Schizosaccharomyces pombe: one gene and its partners. Changing the gene in region 2 together with the main gene of any one other region gives a genetic interaction. Each region holds a gene or a part of one and is shown on either strand. Other genes may lie near its edges.

What was found.
Region 1: mutations in ccp1 (region 2) and spf1 together harm fitness more than expected from each alone (negative genetic interaction), as found in Schizosaccharomyces pombe (2 studies listed by BioGRID).
Region 3: mutations in ccp1 (region 2) and sum2 together harm fitness more than expected from each alone (negative genetic interaction), as found in Schizosaccharomyces pombe (2 studies listed by BioGRID).
Region 4: mutations in ccp1 (region 2) and spp27 together harm fitness more than expected from each alone (negative genetic interaction), as found in Schizosaccharomyces pombe (2 studies listed by BioGRID).

What each region holds. Positions count from the first base shown.
Region 1 is NC_003421.2:363,242-367,499, forward strand, and holds spf1 (Set1C PHD finger subunit Spf1), read right to left. Parts: upstream 2,242-4,258; 5' UTR 2,238-2,241; coding exon 963-2,237; 3' UTR 519-962; downstream 1-518. Other genes in the region: SPOM_SPCC594.04C (steroid oxidoreductase superfamily protein), read right to left, coding at 1-492; vsl1 (SNARE protein Vam7), read right to left, coding at 2,687-3,676, 3,713-3,748. UniProt on the Schizosaccharomyces pombe protein: The Set1 complex specifically methylates 'Lys-4' of histone H3.
Region 2 is NC_003423.3:2,392,925-2,397,544, forward strand, and holds ccp1 (CENP-A histone disassembly chaperone Ccp1), read right to left. Parts: upstream 2,658-4,620; 5' UTR 2,638-2,657; coding exon 2,565-2,637; exon of another isoform or gene 2,475-2,564; coding exon 2,364-2,474; exon of another isoform or gene 2,295-2,363; coding exon 1,779-2,294; exon of another isoform or gene 1,686-1,778; coding exon 1,651-1,685; 3' UTR 1,519-1,650; coding exon of another isoform or gene 870-1,518; 3' UTR 779-869; coding exon of another isoform or gene 750-778; 3' UTR 645-749; exon of another isoform or gene 634-644; intron 583-633; 3' UTR 548-582; downstream 1-547. Other genes in the region: protein mug20, read right to left, coding at 1-2, 46-179; tlg1 (SNARE protein Tgl1), read left to right, coding at 750-778, 870-1,518; eIF2 alpha kinase Gcn2, read left to right, coding at 3,751-3,867, 3,917-4,620.
Region 3 is NC_003423.3:265,463-269,956, reverse strand, and holds sum2 (translation initiation inhibitor), read right to left. Parts: upstream 2,502-4,494; 5' UTR 2,468-2,501; coding exon 2,415-2,467; exon of another isoform or gene 2,377-2,414; coding exon 2,318-2,376; exon of another isoform or gene 2,280-2,317; coding exon 2,098-2,279; exon of another isoform or gene 1,990-2,097; coding exon 1,003-1,989; 3' UTR 549-1,002; downstream 1-548. Other genes in the region: SPOM_SPBC800.14C (uncharacterized protein), read left to right, coding at 1-250; trm6 (translation initiation factor eIF-3 gamma subunit Gcd10), read right to left, coding at 3,059-4,352, 4,489-4,494. UniProt on the Schizosaccharomyces pombe protein: Required for G2/M phase checkpoint control.
Region 4 is NC_003421.2:1,829,983-1,834,727, reverse strand, and holds spp27 (RNA polymerase I upstream activation factor complex subunit Spp27), read right to left. Parts: upstream 2,746-4,745; coding exon 2,553-2,745; exon of another isoform or gene 2,481-2,552; coding exon 2,269-2,480; exon of another isoform or gene 2,136-2,268; coding exon 1,986-2,135; exon of another isoform or gene 1,932-1,985; intron 1,815-1,931; coding exon 1,668-1,814; 3' UTR 559-1,667; downstream 1-558. Other genes in the region: hel2 (ubiquitin-protein ligase E3), read right to left, coding at 19-115; msh6 (DNA mismatch repair protein), read left to right, coding at 3,047-3,640, 3,756-4,745. UniProt on the Schizosaccharomyces pombe protein: Component of the UAF (upstream activation factor) complex which interacts with the upstream element of the RNA polymerase I promoter and forms a stable preinitiation complex. UAF seems to stimulate basal transcription to a fully activated level.

The DNA of each region.
Region 1 (4,258 bases), on a different chromosome or scaffold from region 2:
GATATGAATGTAAAAATAGTGGAATAATGGATATATCCATTTAGGCATGATTTGGCGAACTCTCACCCAACGATAGTCCTCTGCTCCTCGATTATAACCTCCTTTACGGTAATAATTGTAAGTAAGACGCGCGGACCATAGAGTCTGCAAAAATGCCATAATCATTAATCTTCGCGAAGCAATGTTGTATCCCAAACCATAAAACAGAAAATGCAAGGAAAAAGCCGTTGGCAGAATTGGCCATAGCCGATCCACTTGCGATGTATTTTTCGTCCAAACAGACACTCCCCAAAGCACATTTCCCAAAATAAATGAGAGAAGTAGTCCTACAACAAATGGATTCGTATTATAATAAAAATCTGCAAAATTCAACTTTCCAGTAAACAGTAACTTCAAATTGCTCAGTTGATACAGGTAAGGAGATACTGCAACTTTCCATTTTGCGGCATCAGATGCCGAATAAATAATTGGCATGGTGGATGCCAAAGTCATAGTGCTCGTTTGAAAAAGAACAATGGGAATGTCAGAAAGTTGGCTTTCTATAGCTCCACGAAATCCTCTGTCTCATTGTGACGTTAGCTTCTGGAATAAGAAGGATTAGTGAAATCCAAGGAGCCTGCGTTTTCCAAAAAATAAAATAAAATAAATTTCAAAACAAAAGAGAGAGAAAACCTCAAGGCCATTAAGACATGAGTTGATAAAAAGAGAGGGTGTAGAATGTATGTCCTTATGTTAAAAAGTGACTTTTTAGAAGGAAAAACCAAATTACCATCTGTCAACATTATTTTGCGAAACAGGGAGTCAATAAATTTAAAGCCAAAATTAAGAGACAAATGCCAAGCAATATAAACTTTTCTTTCATTAACATTTGCGAATCAATGCCTCGTGATTTACATGAAATGATCTAGAAATTAAAGCAAACTTCAAAATTGTAAATTAAACCAAAAGATGCATCCTTCTGTTTATTTTAATAAATTAGCCATTTTTTCGGGAGATAACTGTTCATGACAAAATCGAGCATAACCGTCGTATTGTATCCCGGGTAGGCACCTCTGTTTTTGATGCTCCAACATTACATCTTTGGCAGTTTGCTTCATGTTTAGTTTTTGTAAAATATTACTTTCTTGCAACTCAAAATCTTCGGTAAAAATTACCTGCCAGCTTGTGTGCTTTGCACATCTTCGCTTCTCTGTAAAGCAGGTGGACTCAGGAGAAGGATCTATACTCATGTCAAGAGATAGCGGTGCTCCATTTGAAACTTTTTCCCACAATTCATTCATTTGTTGTTGATTGAATAAAAGTCGAGAATCGAATCCACACAGATCTTTCTTAATACCTTCTCTTTCTTTGTAAGCAAGAACCGCTCTCCGCGAAGAATCTTTGATCAACTGAAGAAATATTTTTTTGTTAGATGCTACTTCTTTCTCTTTATTTAATTGCACAATTTCTGCGTTCAGCCTATTGGCCTCCTCAATTTCAAAATTGTACACAACTTCAGGAGGAACTTGGCTTGGCAATGTCGGTCCCACCGTACCCAAATTTTGAAATTCTTCCCTTTTTTTTGCAAACAATACAAGATTTTTTATAGCAGAAGGTTCAACCGTACTCAGCTTTACTTTTTCTCGAAAAAAATCGACTCCATGTTTATCACTACAATAGTTGGAATTAGGTCTTGTGGGATTCGAGCATTCTCGTAACCGGCATTTTCTTTTCCAAGTAGTTATACCCTTTCCTTCTTCTGTGCATTTAGGACAAAAGTACTGTACAGTTAAATCATTATAAGATTCAGGTATATTAACGCAAGTGCCATGAAACCAATCTTCGCAACCATCACATCCTAACATCCATGATCCATCATCAGGCTTTTGGCATATACAATACAATGGTCTTTGATGATCGGCTGTAGACAGATTGAGTTGGCTATTCGCATTTCCTCGGTGTTTTCGTGGACCCCTTCTATGAGCTGATACGGGTGGTTTTTTGGGTATTGTAGGCTGTTGAATGACTTGCATTTCTATGTCTGTTTCCGTTGAGGAAGAATCAACGTGACCGTTGACTTCTTCAACCTCCATTTTAACAGATTTATTGAGAATTACGTTGGCGTCTTTCTCTTCCTCATTGTTAGCTGTCTCGATATGAAAATCAGTAATGGTGCCTCTATTCGAATCCTCAAATTTTACAATTGATTCTACATGAGTTTTTTCATTTTCCTCAGTATTCTCTTGCGTTAATTCCATTATTGGAATTTCAGTTGTCTAAGTCTGTCAATAAGTAAAATCTAAAGAAAGCGAGCTTAAGCACAGTACACTAAATGCATTAAAAGGAACTACAAGCCAAACCAAAATACAAAAGAAATGGGGTCTGTCAAAACAAGTTGAAATTTAAACAAGTCGTATATTAATATCAAGCTTAATTAAAGGAGACAATTATTTCAACCTTGACGGACGAACTAACCATGCCTATATAACTCACAGAGGTTACTGCGGTATCTTCAAGAAGATTAAACAAAAAAAAAAAAAAAGGAAAGAACGCAAATACACCAAATAATAAATATTTTTAGCCCAGATAATCTCATCCAAGACAATCACTAATGTAGCAGAATTGGATAGAAAACAAGACAAAACTGCAAAAGAAGATTCCATTAAATTTCGTGAAATTAAATCAAATACTCATAAACACCCAAATATTAACCCAATTTGCGAAGGCCAGCTCGTGTTCTGTGTAGCTTTTTTTGGTTTGCATATGCTTCATTAGAAAGCTCGTCTAACATGGAGTTTTGCTCGACAACTTCTTGATTAATCATTTTCGAAAGCTCCTTCTGCCTTTGAATAATAGGCAATAACGATTCTGCTTGCATATCTTGATCTTCCATAGTTTGATTCTGCATGTTGTACAGTCCTACATTATCAAGCTTTTTTGTTGTCTGTGTCTCTGGCATTCTGTTTTTTCCAAGGACTCTGTTCAAAGAGGTATTAGATTGTTTGTCAGTAGATGCAGATAATGGGCGAAAGGGAGAACTAGGATTAGAAGAGTTTAATTGAGATGAGGCAGAAGGAGGAGCGACTGGGCTGTTTGCATTTTTAACTAACCGTTTAAATGACAAGAATTCAGAACCAAGCTGTTCTAACATATCTTTTCGTCGAAGGATTTCTCCTGGACCAAGAGCATTTGCTAATTCTAATTTGTCTAACGATTCTGAAAGGTTATCCATTAGCGACTTTATTGCATAGACATTCTTTGTTTGAACTCCTATCGTAATGCTTTTTCCACTCATTAAGTCAACTCGGTACATATGTAAATTACGTTTACAATCTTGAAATACTTGAATCCAATCTGTCGGACCCAAAAACTGACCCTGTGTTTCATCTTCCGATTCATCTTTAATATTTAGAAATTTTTTAACCACAGGCATTTTTATCCATGGCGTTTCTGAAAGGCATTGAACGTAAGCTTGTAAAGCAAGTCGTCGAGATTCACGTAACTTTTCATTTGTCACAGTTGAAGAAACCCAAGATTTAGAGGGGAGTTTGCAAAGTCTACTGTTGTAGTCATTTGGCCGAATTTGAGCATCCAAAGCAACGAATTCATTGAACCGACGAAATACAACATGTTTCCCACCATTCGGAAATGCTACTTCAATATGGTAAACCGTCCATCGTGAATATTCATCAGAAGACTAGTTGTAAGTAAAAATTAAAGGAATAAAGCTTACTTGAGACGTTTCTGGTATTTTAATTTTTAGCGCCATACTTGCTATGAACAGGTTGATCAACAATGAGTTCATGAACAACAGACTACTGTATCGGATTTACTGCACTATCGTTATAAAACTGTATAATGTAGAATTTGAGCTTTCAAATAGTATAGGTTCTATTAGTTGAATAAAGATAAATTTCAGTTTCATGATGCTTTAGATCCTTTAAACCTCATGTTTTCCTTGATGCGCGAGATGCCTTTACGATTATCGAATTGGCAGGTATTGAAAGAAAGTTTACCAGTTTGCAATAGATTTAGAAATTAAAATAATGAATTAGGTTAGTATATTATCTTATACCTTTAAACACTTTATAGTCAGATTATTGAGTATTTTTTTTGGCACTCGTGAACGGTGCAACTTACAAGTAATTACAATACCTAAACAGAAGAACGGCAAAATCTTAACGAAGCTTAGTAATAAACAGAAATTGTTTATTTTCTATATTTTCCTACATGGATTGGTTGCAAGCGCGACTTGCCTAAAGTATTAAAAGCACAGAAT
Region 2 (4,620 bases):
CTCTGAATTGTTGGGTCAATTAGCTGAAGAAACTTATGGACGTACTTGACACGTGCATTCAAAAAATATGAATGCAATGCACTATCATGATGCTCACTGAATGCTAATACTGCTTCAGATACCATGTTAGCATGGCGATTGCTCAGCTCTGTTTGCAAAGACGTTATAATTTCAGACATGTTGTGGTTCTTGATAACATGTTAATAGTGTCTACGCGTCTTTTGTTTACATCAAGCTAGCGATATATAGCGTACTGTTTTAGCTCACAAGACTTTCTTTGTGTTCAGTTTCTCTTAAAACATTTAGTCTTAGGTTTTTAGCAATAGAATTAATTTTTTAGCACAAAGGCTAGAATGAAAGATTGCTTTTGGCCATTGAAAACGTTTTATTTACCTAGATGTTTACATTTAATCTAACATACAACGGTGGAATACGGTTGAATCAAAACAAAATAGTGACAAGGGGAGGTTGCTGTTTTTTCAACAAGATTGAGATATTGCTTTCTTATTTATTCTCCATTACTTGTTTTGTAAGGACTCAATGTTTACGGTGATCTTTGAGTGAGCAGTTAGGTAGCGTTATCTATCGTAAAGTCGTTACTTGACTGAATCAGCACAGTACTTTAGTATTTGCAGACAGCATACCTGATAATACGAATTTGCTTCGTTTATTTTATATTATCTTATTTTTCTTTAAATTATAAAAGCATTTCCAAGTAGAAAATTGGCTCATATCTCTACATCATCAACATGGAGGACCCCTTTTATGAAGTCAAAGCGTAAGTTGTGCAATGATGAACCAGAAATGTCTTAATAGATTCCTTTTGTTGCTTTAAGATTTTATTTAACTGACATTTATTCGAAATATAGGGATGCATCAAATCAAATGGAGCAAGTGCGAAAGCTTTACAATTCTTTTATGGCCGCACGAAACTCTGGAGTCCTTTCACCAAATACTGAGCTTACTTACGCCATTGATGAGTTAAGCGAAACATTGAAGGACTTAAAAGCTGCTGTGGAAATAGCGATGAAAAATTCTGAGCATTTTGGGTTAGATGAAGAAGAACTAAAGTCGAGAAGGAGATTTGTCTCGGAACTGGATATTGAGTTAAACAATATACAGTTAAAGATGGGTGCTGCCCCAAGCACACCAGTTTCTACAGAACCTTATACTGTTGACAATGGTGCCTCAGCTGGTTTGTCTGAAGAAGATCATGCTGTCAATCGACAATATCAAGAGCAGCTTTATCAGCAACAAGACGTAATGCTGGACGGGGTTTACGACACGATTGGAAACATTCGTGGGCAGGCAGCTTTGATGGGCGAAGAATTGGGTCAACAGGCTGACTTGTTAGATACTCTTGACAATTCCATTGAGACCACTAATAGTAAGCTTCGCAGGGGTATGAAGCGGTTGAAAGATTTTACGATTGCAAGCGCAGACTCTAAATCTGGATGTTGTATTACCGTACTCATTATCATCTTAATTGCATTGTTGGTATTGGTTATTGTGCTGTAACTAAATCTTTATATTGTATTATTTAATTCTTTGAACCATCTTCCCAATAAACGAATAACCAATCATTCCATAGGTAACCTCGAGCTTTGGGAAGACAAAAAAAATTTCATGTCTGTGTTCTCGTTCCTTAAATTAATTAGACTTCTTGGACTTTTTGGAAGGTGGTTCTGCGATTTTTGTGTTAGTTTTACAATACATTGACATCTATCATATCATCTATTCATGCTTTCGCCTTATTTTTTTAAGACCTGTTTTCGTACCTTGCTTTTCTTCGTCCCCTTCTTCGTCTTCTTCGTCTTCTTCTTCCTCATCTTCCTCCAAATCTACTGACTCATCCTCATCACTCGCTTCTTCGGTCATGGCTTCTGTAAAATATTTTACAGCATTTGGAAAAAGATCCTCTGCCAGAAAAATTGTGAGTGTTGCTCCATCAAAATCATCGTCCTCTTCCTCTCCGGTCCATTGAAAATAGTCAAAAAAATTAGGAGGTAATTTTTTATTTTTTCTAAATAAACTCTTTCCTGGTTTCCAATGTATATCAACAGGTTGCGAAGTATACTTGGTTATCTTTTTTTCCAAACCCTCATCATCCTTTGCTTTTTCCTCTTTAATTCTCACTTCTTTTACCAAGGTAAGGTTGTCGTCCTGAAGATATTCGTTTGGTTGAAAGGTAAGCGAAATTCGGACATCCCTTGGTTCCTTTTCATTAAACCTTTCAACATAAATATTTTCGAGTTTTTCAAGTAACACACTATCTTCAGGTGTTATGTACTGGCCTGAAATAACTTAATTAGAATTTCAACAATGTTTAAACAAAAACAATAATAGTATACAATTTTACATACTGATTTCATCCCCAGCAGCTTCCAGAACTACTACCCAAAAGTTGTTAATGGTCTTCAAAATATCACGACGCTGCTCAAAAAGCGGTTGAAAAAGCTCATTTTGTTTCTTCACTAGCACCAAGATACATTAGCAATTGTTAACACATTTTTTATAAAAAACGTAATTTTATGCTACAAAAATGCAAAATCGATTAAACATACATATTTCGATTTCTGCTTTTCCAAACTCTTGCTCTAGGTTTGCGAGATTTTCAAAAGCTTGAGCTGCCTCCATTTTGTAGGTTAATTTCGTGCAAGGGAGAAAAATCTAATAGTAATTCGAAAATTCTCACTTCGTCAACGATGATGAAGGCACTACCCTTACCACGTTTTTACGTACGATGAACAATGCTAGCAAAGTATATCAGAGGCTTTACTTTCCAATATAATGACTGCCGTAGCTTCTGTAGCTTGCAATAATTTAACCTTGACTTTTTCAACAGTATACAAACCATCCATATTACTAGTAATCGAGCAGGATTCTAGTTTTTAACTCACACCATTTTCATAGGTTGTTTTTATAAGTGTAATAACTTATTAGTCTGAACAAAGAGTAAAATTAGAAAATAAACTGTAGTTTGCGCGGTTTCGAGCTTTCAGGCTAGCGTGCTTGCATTTTCCAAACTTCTCCTGACCATGATGAAGAAAGGAGAGGAGGAAAAAAGGTATAACATTTCGAATGCAACTACAAATTTGTATTATATTGCATTATATGAAACGCTGTTATAGTTTACTGGTGTATCTATTTTATCAGTTATGAAGTATGTCTTTGTAGTTTAATCAAAAATCCATGATTATGGTAAAACAATGAAGAAAAGTTAACCAAACGCGATTAAAAGTTAAAACTTTTTGACCGCTTCACTTCAAACAATGAAGCGCTTTGCATACAAATGCAGATAATCATTATATCCAACTGTTCGTTATCGATTGAAGATCTGAAGTCTGATTCATCTTATCCAACTCAAAATTACATCTTAACTAAAGAATGTATGATCCGTGCCGATTATCGCATTTATTCGGCTCAAATCAATCTATACTCATTACAATACCAGTATACTGCGTTCTTCCATCTTTAGTATACCACGAGCGAGAAACTTCTTCCTCCAGCAAATTCGCGGCAAACAAGCAATTTATCTAAAAATCCAATTCAGAGGAAAGAAAAGAAATAGAATTGATAATAATTATATTTTCAAGTCCTATATTGCCGTCCTGATATAAACTGATTTGCTTTCTTTCCTTCCAGTTTACACAGGACGAATTTTCAACCAACAGTTTAATTGTGAATAAATATATTTGCTTCCTATTAAACTAGTAAATTATTGGCAACAATAGTTGGTAAAAGCTGTTCATGGATGCGGCGAAACGTCTGGAACTATGCAAGGAAATTCAAGAAAATGAAATTGAGGCCCTCAAAGCCATTTTTATGGATGATTTTGAGGAGTTGAAAGTTAGGAATGCTTGGAATGTATGATTAATGTTTGTTCACTACCCATTTACTAACAATGGTATCTTAGGTTACAAACGGCCATGTTTATTGTATACATCTATGTTCAAGAAGTGCAAACTCTAAAAGTATTGCGAAACTTGATCTTTGTATTGAGCTTGGAAGAAGCTATCCTTATGTGAAACCAGTGATCAAGTTACAAAATGGAGAAAATGTCCTAAACTCTCAGATTCGATTTTTGCTTGATAAGTTAGATACAAAGGCAAAAGACTTGCTAGGAGAGGAAATGATTTTTGAACTTGCCAGTATAGTGCAGGACTATCTTAATGATTGGCAGTCTGACCTCTCTTCTCAATTTGCTAGCTTGGAAGAGGAACGTGCGGTACAACTAAAGCATGATCGAGAGAGAGCGGAAGTGGATTTACAACTTAGGTTAAAACGGGAGAAAGATGCCTTATTTGAGGAAGAACAAACGCTTCAGAACAAAATTCAAGATGAATTACAACGCCGCTCATACGAAACACCGCAATCTTCTTCTAAGAAAAAGACGAATAGTAAGGAAACAACTTCTCTCGAAACCCTCCCAACTTCTATTTATTTTGATTGTTCTATATCCGTTAGAGACTGTCACGATTCTTTGGTTACATTTAATAGAGTGCTTCCTTTGTATACAATCTCGCATTCCAACCTTTCTACTTTGACTTTGGTCAAGCCTGAATCTAAAGAGATATCTTTACAGGATTGTGTTTTTCTACTTAGAACCGTCCGAATTAG
Region 3 (4,494 bases), 2.1 Mb from region 2:
TATATTCTCTTCAAAATTGTATGCTATATCGGCTTTATCTGGACTATGTATTATTCCTTTCACGCTTTTGTTTATGAAAAAGGACATTAACTCTTTACAAACGTTAAATCCAGATCTAATACTTAAAGATGTAAAGGCTACTCAAAATTTCCGCAGTATAATTCACAGATGGGGTTTTAAAAACTTATTTCGAAGCGCATTTATGTTTTTCTCTGGTTTAGCTTCAATCGCTGGATCAATTTACTTTTGATAACAAAACATAATTGTAATGTATCGTTTACGTGTTAACTCTTGCGTTCCGATATTCGTTGATGATCAAATAATATTAAGTTCTAATTTTTCTACTGCTGATTATTAAAACACTATATCACGTAGTTAAGTTCGTGAAATTTAAACTATTAAAAAATGCTAAAATTAAGAGAGCACATTTTTATTTTTAAAACGATTCGCTTATAAATTGTTCATACTGCTCAAACATTGTTGTTTGGATTCTATAGTTTGTCAGCTTCAAACAAGTCGACTGAATCAAATTTTTACAAAACGCTTTTCAAAAACGAAACGACTGTTGAAAAACACGGGTTGTTCAATGTTCAGTCATGCAACCAGCGATGCTTTGGGTCTATCAAGGTGTATAAAAGAATAAACATTAGCGGATTGGTTAAGTCTTCAACCTTTTGGTAATTATATGTAACCCATTAACATTTATTCGTAATACCTTTACGAAATCTCGGTATAGGATATCGTTTCAATGCTTGTTCTTCTTGCGTAATACATGAGCAGATAAGTATAGTTTTTAAAGCACTCTACAAGAACTTAACAAAACTCCTAAGTTAAATATCAAATAACAACGACTAATCCTTTTGGTTTATATAAGAGAACACCTTTTTTCGGGTCGTTAAATACATGTCCATAAATTTTGAGTTCATCATGATTGAAACGAAGACGAAGCTCAATCTAGAGAAACGAGGATACTTCATCTGTACTCATTATAAGAAATGCAGTTCATTGGTCGTTTGCAGGCTGGGCTCTAGGTTGAGAGCCATTGGAATTCCTGTATTGGTTATATTGATTTCTTGCATATCCACGTCCACGACCTCTACCACCACGTCCACGACCACGTCCACGACGGCCGCGATTTCCAGAGCCAGCAACGCCAAATGTCTCCATGTTCAAAGAACGTTCGCGATCTCGTAGAGCTCTTCTATCTGCAGCTTCCATACCCTTCTCTTTACTTTCACAACTAATATTATCAAAAAAAGATTGCTTAGGCTTGTAAAATTCTTCGGCTTCTTCATCATTTTTTCCTTTTAACAAATCATCTTTCATCGATTGAAACTTTTGATTTGCAGTTTGAAAGTCAAATTCGGTACGAGGCTTTGCAGCACTAGCATCAGGTTGAGTTGTAGGAACTTCTTTAGAAGGTCCAGATGTTTCAACGGTTTGGGATTGAGAGACATCCACAGTAGTATTCACAACACGGTCATTTGTGACAGTGGAATTCCGTATACTAGTACTTTCTTTTTCAATAGATGCTTCAATGGAGGGCTGTGCACCTGGTATCACTCCATTCGTGGGCGGCATGGATTGAAGAGACGGAGATGCAGATACCGCGGTAGGACCAGGAGCAGGCATGCCCGGAGCAAAGTTGGGAGGCTTCTGGTTTGAAGGCATTCCGTATCCAGGACGTACGTTGTACGGGGCCTGACCGGCAAACCCTTGAGAAACATTTTGAGCAAACTCAGGACGTTGACCCATTTGCTGTTGATCAGGTGCCCCATAATACGGGACCGCAGGTGTGGATGCGTCTAAGGGAGTACCCAAAGGCAAACCTCCAGGAGGTACAAATTGAGCGGGAGCATTCGGGTACATATAGTAAGGTGCACCTGCTGGAGGAGCCTGTTGGTATGGAGCTCCATAAGGGTTAGGTTGAACAGGCTGAGGAGGTTGGGCAGTCTGCGCTTGGTTCCAATTATACTGCCCGCTATTAGACTAATTATAGTTAAAATCATGATCTTGTCAGATATATAAAGAGTGCCAAAGATAATTAATACTAGATATACTAATGAGAATCTCCACCACTCTTTAGACGTAACATACCCCAATAATTGCAGGATCATTAGGAGGTTGAACCGGGGGAGCAGAAGGAGTAGTAGCAGGTTCCTCAATCCGTAAATCTTTAACATCGCTTCCACGAAAAACAATGTAATCAAATACATTATCTGATGGGGGGATTTCTTGAGAGGGATCTTGTTTTCTTCCTTCAGTACCACACCAACGGACTAAACTGTTAGTAATCAATGCTGGGTACTCAACCTACCATGCTTCAAAGCCAGTGTTGAGTCCTGGGAATTGATGTCCTGCAAAATGCCCACATAACTAAATATTAGTAAAGGAAAGATAATGCTCTCACGTACCGAATGTCAGATTTGCTAATTAGACTAATACGAGAACCAATAAATTCAGTCATTGGTTATAAACTCGACGAAGTAAAGCTTAGTGGTGAAAGGAGCGTGGTTAGGTGTCCTTTCGAAATTAACGAACTTGGCGATAGCGCTAGTATGGGGTTCATTATACCGAGTAAATAAGACCAAAATGCGACATTGTCATTTATAAGCTGTTTTTTCATCAGTTTTTATATTTATTTAAAATTAACATGCTTAAGATCAAAAAGGCTATCCACAGCTGCTCTGACCATGTACTACTTATTTTACTTAAATACGTATATGTGCAGCAGTCAAATTGTAACTAATTTTATACTTATTACAAGTAATCTATTTTTAAAAAGAATGAAAATGCCAAGCAAAAGACACTGTACTTTAACGCTCTTCAAAATTGAGTTAACCTGAAACCGCACCGTCAATTACATTATCCAACTAACATATTCATTTTCTGATACGTATGAAAATTTTAAGTTAAAGAATGAAACAAAAAACTTTTTAATATAACAAAAACCTTTTCCCAATTCAACGTAACTGAGTTTATGTCCAAAATTGTAACTCCCCTTGTTGATCTAATAGAGTAGCCTTGAAAAAAATATTCCAAAAGTAATATTTCATATCTAATTTTCCAATTTTGCTTTTTTGACAGAAGAAGTTTCTTTCTGGCCCTTACGTTTTGGAAACCTTCCGGCAGCTAGATTGCTGTCAGAAGTTAACACCTTGATCCCAGATAAAACGAAACCCATATCACCCCTAACAGTCATGAATGGATGAGTCCTTTCTGGCAAGACTTGGTAAGGTCGTGTACGAATCTCATGAATATCCAGCATGATGACTTTCTCTTTCTGTGTATCAATAGCAACGTCTCCTTGATCAACCTTTTCGTCATTTTCAGTACTTTGAGCTGTCTTTTCTACAAATAAGTTATCCCATTTAGATAATTGATGATACGTCTCGACTAAGACTTGCTGATATGTTGAGTATACCATGAAAGGACGTGATATACCGAGCTTTGGAAGAAGATGTTGAAGAACAGACATTGGGGTGTGAATAGATAGTATAAAGAGAGCATCATAGTTACCACTTTCAAAATCATCAATAGTATTCTTCAAACGGTTAAATGTAGCTTTCTTCGTTTCATAGCGCTTACGGTGGCGAAGTTTCATCTCATTCAACTCTGATTCAGGAATATCTTCAACCGAATACTCACTTAAAGTCTCGGTTGGATTCGTAACTTGATACCAATTCAAAGTTTTCAAAATCCCTTTTTGAACCAAACTATCCTCTTTAAAGTCTTGCCCCCAATACTCTAAACAAGAGCTATTAGGTTGCTCATTTGGATGGACCAGGGTTATTTTGCAATCACCAGCAACACGGTCAATAAGAGAACCAAGGAACATGCATCCAGTCTCATCAACTACCAAATATCTACCCCCAGGTTTAACATTTCCAAGAGTAAGCATCAAGCTTATACACTCGGCAGTAAGATCAAGTATCTTATACGGATCATGTTCAATCATGTAATTAGCCACAACTTCAACACAAGGTCGTAAAACCTGAAAGCGTTGAAGATACTTTTCCCCTTTTCTCGTAACATATTTCTCCTGAGCAAATAAAGTTTTTTGCTCAAAAGTTTTACTACTATTAGTCAACTGTTTGATGGCCTCTTCAGCACGAAGTCCACCAGCTTTAATGTTTGCGCGCAGTTCATCAATCTCCTCTTGAGTCATAAGCTGATTGCCTCGACAATCATTAAGTTCTTGATTCGTTTTCTTTTCTTCCTCGATATACTGTACCTCCCTTGTTTTTAAAACTCGAATTTTTTTGGGTTGATAAATTTCAAAAGTTTCGTCAAAATGCTTTCCAAACAAATCATCAGCGAGAAATGAACCAAATTTTCCGAGGTGAATTGTACTATTTAATATAAAGTCAGTAAGATCAATATGAACGAGATAAACTAGATCACCTCTATCTCCTTATGCAAAAAACAATTTCAATTGCTATCATTGAAAATGTACTTTAAATTGTAAATTAAGATCCTCATACTTACTTGTTT
Region 4 (4,745 bases), on a different chromosome or scaffold from region 2:
AACAAGGAAGTTACGTACGATTCCTATTAGTTTTTTTATTATGAGTCCTAGAATTCTTTTTTTCCGATGCTCTGTTGTGCTCCTTATTATTTAAATTGGGGCCCGAAGGCGACATTTTGATTGTTTATAGAAGATTGCGTGTATGGCGCTGGGTAAATAAAATTTCGTAAAGCGAGCTGCTGTATGCTAAAAAAAACAGTTTAGCTGGAGACCTCTGAATTAGCTGGAATATCGCAAACTAAGAATATATTTATAATTTCAACATTATTGGAAAGTTTTTAAGCTTCTGAATTGATTTTTGAAACGTGCATCGAATATTTTGTTAGAAACGTATATAGCATTGAATGTACAGCGGAAGTAAATAGCAATCTCTTATAAAGGGCTTATATAATTTACTAATTTGTTTTGAAAAAAATATTCCCCTAACTTTTTCGCCATAATCTTTTTACTTTGTGCTTAAACAAGAAGTCGTGTATGTATGTAAGCAAGCGTTGTCCTGTCTACAAATAAATGCAATTGTTACAACTGTTAAATGTGGCTTCATCTAAAGTGTGATTGGATCTTTAGAAGTCGTAAACACCATGAAATGATTCAATCAATAATAAGTATATTCATTAAGGACTAATATAAAAGAGAAGAACACTTTCCACTCAGTCTAATCAATTTATAAGTCTTTTGACGGTTATAAGCAGCAATCTTCCAAAAAAAAAACGACCCACAAGCACACAAAAATGTTTATGTAAACATACTCTAACAAACGGATGACAGGTTTGCAACCCCAAAGAAAATCCCAAAATAAAATAATAAACAAATTAAAAAGACAGTACATTATTTGAGACTTAAAAGCATATATCCAGAAAACATCCATTTGCGTATAATTTAATATATACACTATAGACACAAGACGAGTACTAGTCATACAACCAAGCCATATCTTAGATCATCCAAAACTGTAAAGCAAACATCATATTATGGGTTTGTAATACGCAAGGGTAGTAAATAAAATTTATTATTGATGATATGGCTTCGACAGCTCCAAGCGACGGTGGTTTCGTAAACAAAATTCCCCGACAATGGGCTGAAGTGAATCATTTTTTATTTCAATGATATTATAGAGCAAAGCAGCGGTAAAATAATTAAAGGTGCGGTGAAGAAAGTGTTAATACAATACATGAAAATCTCCATCATGCACAACAGTTCATTTAGAAAAGAAAATCAATATGCTATATGAATTTATAAAAAAAAGCACAAAGATATCCATAAGGAATAGGTGATAAGAAATATTCGTAAAATCACAGTCAGTCTAACGTAAATTACCTCTTGTAGCAACCCAAGGTCTAAAGTCAGCAACCTGAACTTTTGTTTTCACACTGCATTTAAGATCAGAAAGTTGTAATGCAAAATACGATATCTGATTATGCGTGGAGACTCTCTAGACATACATAGCCTCTAGTATTAAAGCACGGATATGACATGGACATAGGCAAAATCTGTTGAGGAAAAACAGGTAAGCAAGCGAGTATTGAACGAAATAAACATTTATTGCATGCAATGAAAGCAAAAAACTTGAATGATTTTTGGAGACAAAAAAAAAAGGGATTATTGCAAGATATTATATGAAAAAAAGTTTTGGCTGTTTTATATGGTCATGCAGCAAACACAAAGGCTCAAGCGGTGGATTCGGCGGTAGGAGGCTCGACCAACTCTTTTTCCTCCTGCTTGGGAAGATCGTTCGGAGCCGCTGGTTCTTCATTTTTAGGCTGAGGTTTGGGCAATTGATCATCAGGAATCTTCGTCATGAGATTTGTTAAGTACTATTAATTAAGTTAGCTTAGCTTCGGCAGCAGGTAACAAAGAGCAATGCGGAATGTTTTCCACAAGTAACCAAATGAAAAAAGTAGACAAGGAAAGTTACAATCGACAAAGTAAAAGTTTGTTGACAAACCTCCTTAAAACAATTGTGAACCCATCCATGATTAACTTACCTTGTTCATGGTAAACATATGCAAAGTGTCGACTTCGAAAACGCTTTTCAATTTGTCATCACAAAGAATTGTTCGCTTGTCGTTGGGATCTTGTAAGTCATGTGCTTTTATATACTCCCATAACTTCTTCACAGTTTGGGGACGAGATAACTACGTTAGTTAGCAATCAGCAGAGAAAGCGTGCAAATAAACATTTAGTATGTAAGCCTGCCTCTTTTTTCAAAACAACAAGATTTTGAATGGAACGAGTAGGCACGGCTTCCACACTACAACACCGCCTTACCTGTTCAAGACCCAAAAATTCGGCCAACTTAGGGGACAACTTCATAGGCTTATTCAGAGGATTGTTGGCAGGATCTTGGTTCCTCTTGCGTTTTCCACCCTCTTCTCCATCTTCCTTGCGTTTTCGGGTTCTCTTTGCTGGTTTCTTGCCTTCTTCAGTGCCATTTTCCGTCGCTCTCTTACCCTTGGTTTTGCGAGCGGGTGCTTGTTTTTCTACAAGTTTGGTTAATTATTATTTCTTGCATTATTATTTGCAAATTTCTTCCAGCAATATTCTCATCTTACCTAAACTCTCCTTCTCTGAAGGTGCGGCGGTTTCATCAAAGCATTTCAAAATCAGCGCATTCAAGTCTTTTTTATGCGCACTCAAATCTACCTTTCTTCTTTCTTCTAAAAGTTGACGAACTTGCTTCGCAGATACAGTTTGGCGATCAACTGTACCGAGAATTTGCTTAATGTCTGTTTCGTACTCTTCCATCGTTCTAGTTCTTTATACTACCACCTTACTGTGTTGGTCAAAGTATGGTGTAGTGAGACGGTGGTAGTGGATATAGATTACGGTAAAGAAGGAAAGAGCGCTGGTGTAGCTAAATGCGATTTTGAAAAACACGCTATTTTTACAGATGTAAATACATAAAGCTTCAATTTAATTTCTTGTAAAACTAAAAATAATGGAAATTATATATGTTATTTTGTGCTCTCATGTTAGCTTTGTTTACTATTAGAATGCTGCTTTTTGTAAATAACTGAACTTAGCCAAAACCAACACTTGTTCCAGTATGAGCGTTGGGAACGTTGGCAAGCAAAGGGAGAAAACAAAAGATTCATCAGCTAAAACAAAGCAGAAAACCCTCTTTGGGTTTTTCTCCAAAATCCCGAATGTGAAACAAGAGAAGTCGGATTCTACATTATCTAGTAGTTCGAATCACGACTCTAATCATGATACGCCTGCTGATGTTGACAACAGCTCCAATGTGAACAAAAACTCTTCGTCTCCGGAACGCGAATTGCCAACGAGTCCTTCTCATCATGCGAATACCGAGATAGATTCCAGTTCATCTATGCTTCCTCCTCCATCAAGTGATCCATTTTCCTCACCGCTTTCTAGCAGCCTACACCGATCATCTCCTAAACGCCCTCATGATTCTTTGGGCGAGGAGTCACCAGGTAAATTGCTTCGCACGTCTGTGAAGCAAGAGCCCGACTCTGAAGAAGAAATCGATTCTCCGACGAAAAAGAAAAGTTTTAAAAGTTTGGATACATCAATATTTCAAGCTGAAGATCAATTTCGTCATCCTGTCTCGTCGAAGCTGGAAAATTCGGAATTATCTGAAGTCGACAAGCCTTTTATAGCTTCTCGGCGTTCAAGGAAGGTATGGGTAATTGAGTGATACATATTACTTTAGAAGAATAAAAGGGGAAATACGCACTTTACCCCTATATTAACCAGATTTTTGTTTTAATTAATTATGACTAACAATATGCTAGCCTGTTTCCTACGCTGAAAGTGATGAAGACGAAGACTTCGACGATGCACCTACCAAAGGATCTCGTCATAAAAGAATCGTTTCTGATGACGAATCGGATGACTACGTTGAGCCCGATCATATTTCGGAAGCCTCATCTGAGGCATCCTTGCCTATTGATGAAGTCGAATCTATGGATGAGGATGTTGATGGATATTCAGATCATTCCGTTTCTGTGGCTGCTCCAATTCCCAAAAAGGAATCTCGAAAGGAGAGTTCCAATTCTTTGTATGAAAGTTATCGGCTAGGCTCTCAAATTGCCAGTCCAAGCCCTTCGGTCTCGGGTTCTGCATCTCCCACAAAATCGAATAAAAACGGTGTCCTGAACAGAGAAGAAAAAAGAAGGCAAAGAATGGAGGCATTTAAAAAAGAAAACAACGAACGTTACGAGTGGTTGCTAGATGTTCGAGATGCTGATCAAAATCGAGTGGGTGATCCTAATTATGATCCGCGCACATTGTATATCCCACCTTCAGCTTGGGCAACTTTCAAGCCATTTGAGAAACAATTTTGGAAAATTAAAAAGGACCTTATGGATACAGTTGTTTTTTTTCAGAAGGGAAAATTTTATGAGTTATATGAGAATGATGCCGCTATCGGACATCAGGTATTTTCCTTAAAGTTAACTGATAGAGTTAATATGAAGATGGTTGGAATTCCTGAAGCAAGTTTTGATTACTGGGCATCTCAATTCATTGCAAAGGGGTATCGTATAGCTCGAGTCGACCAATTGGAAACCGCTTTAGGTAAAGAAATAAAAGATCGTCAACGAACTCAGAAGGAAGAAAAAGTAGTTCAGCGAGGCCTTACCCAAGTCTTAACGAGCGGGACCCTTGTTGACGAGGCAATGCTGACTTCTGACTTGTCAACATATTGTATGGCTATTAAAGAAAGTCTTCAATCTGACAACGAAGAGCCTTCTTTTGGTATCTGCTTCATTGATACCTCGACT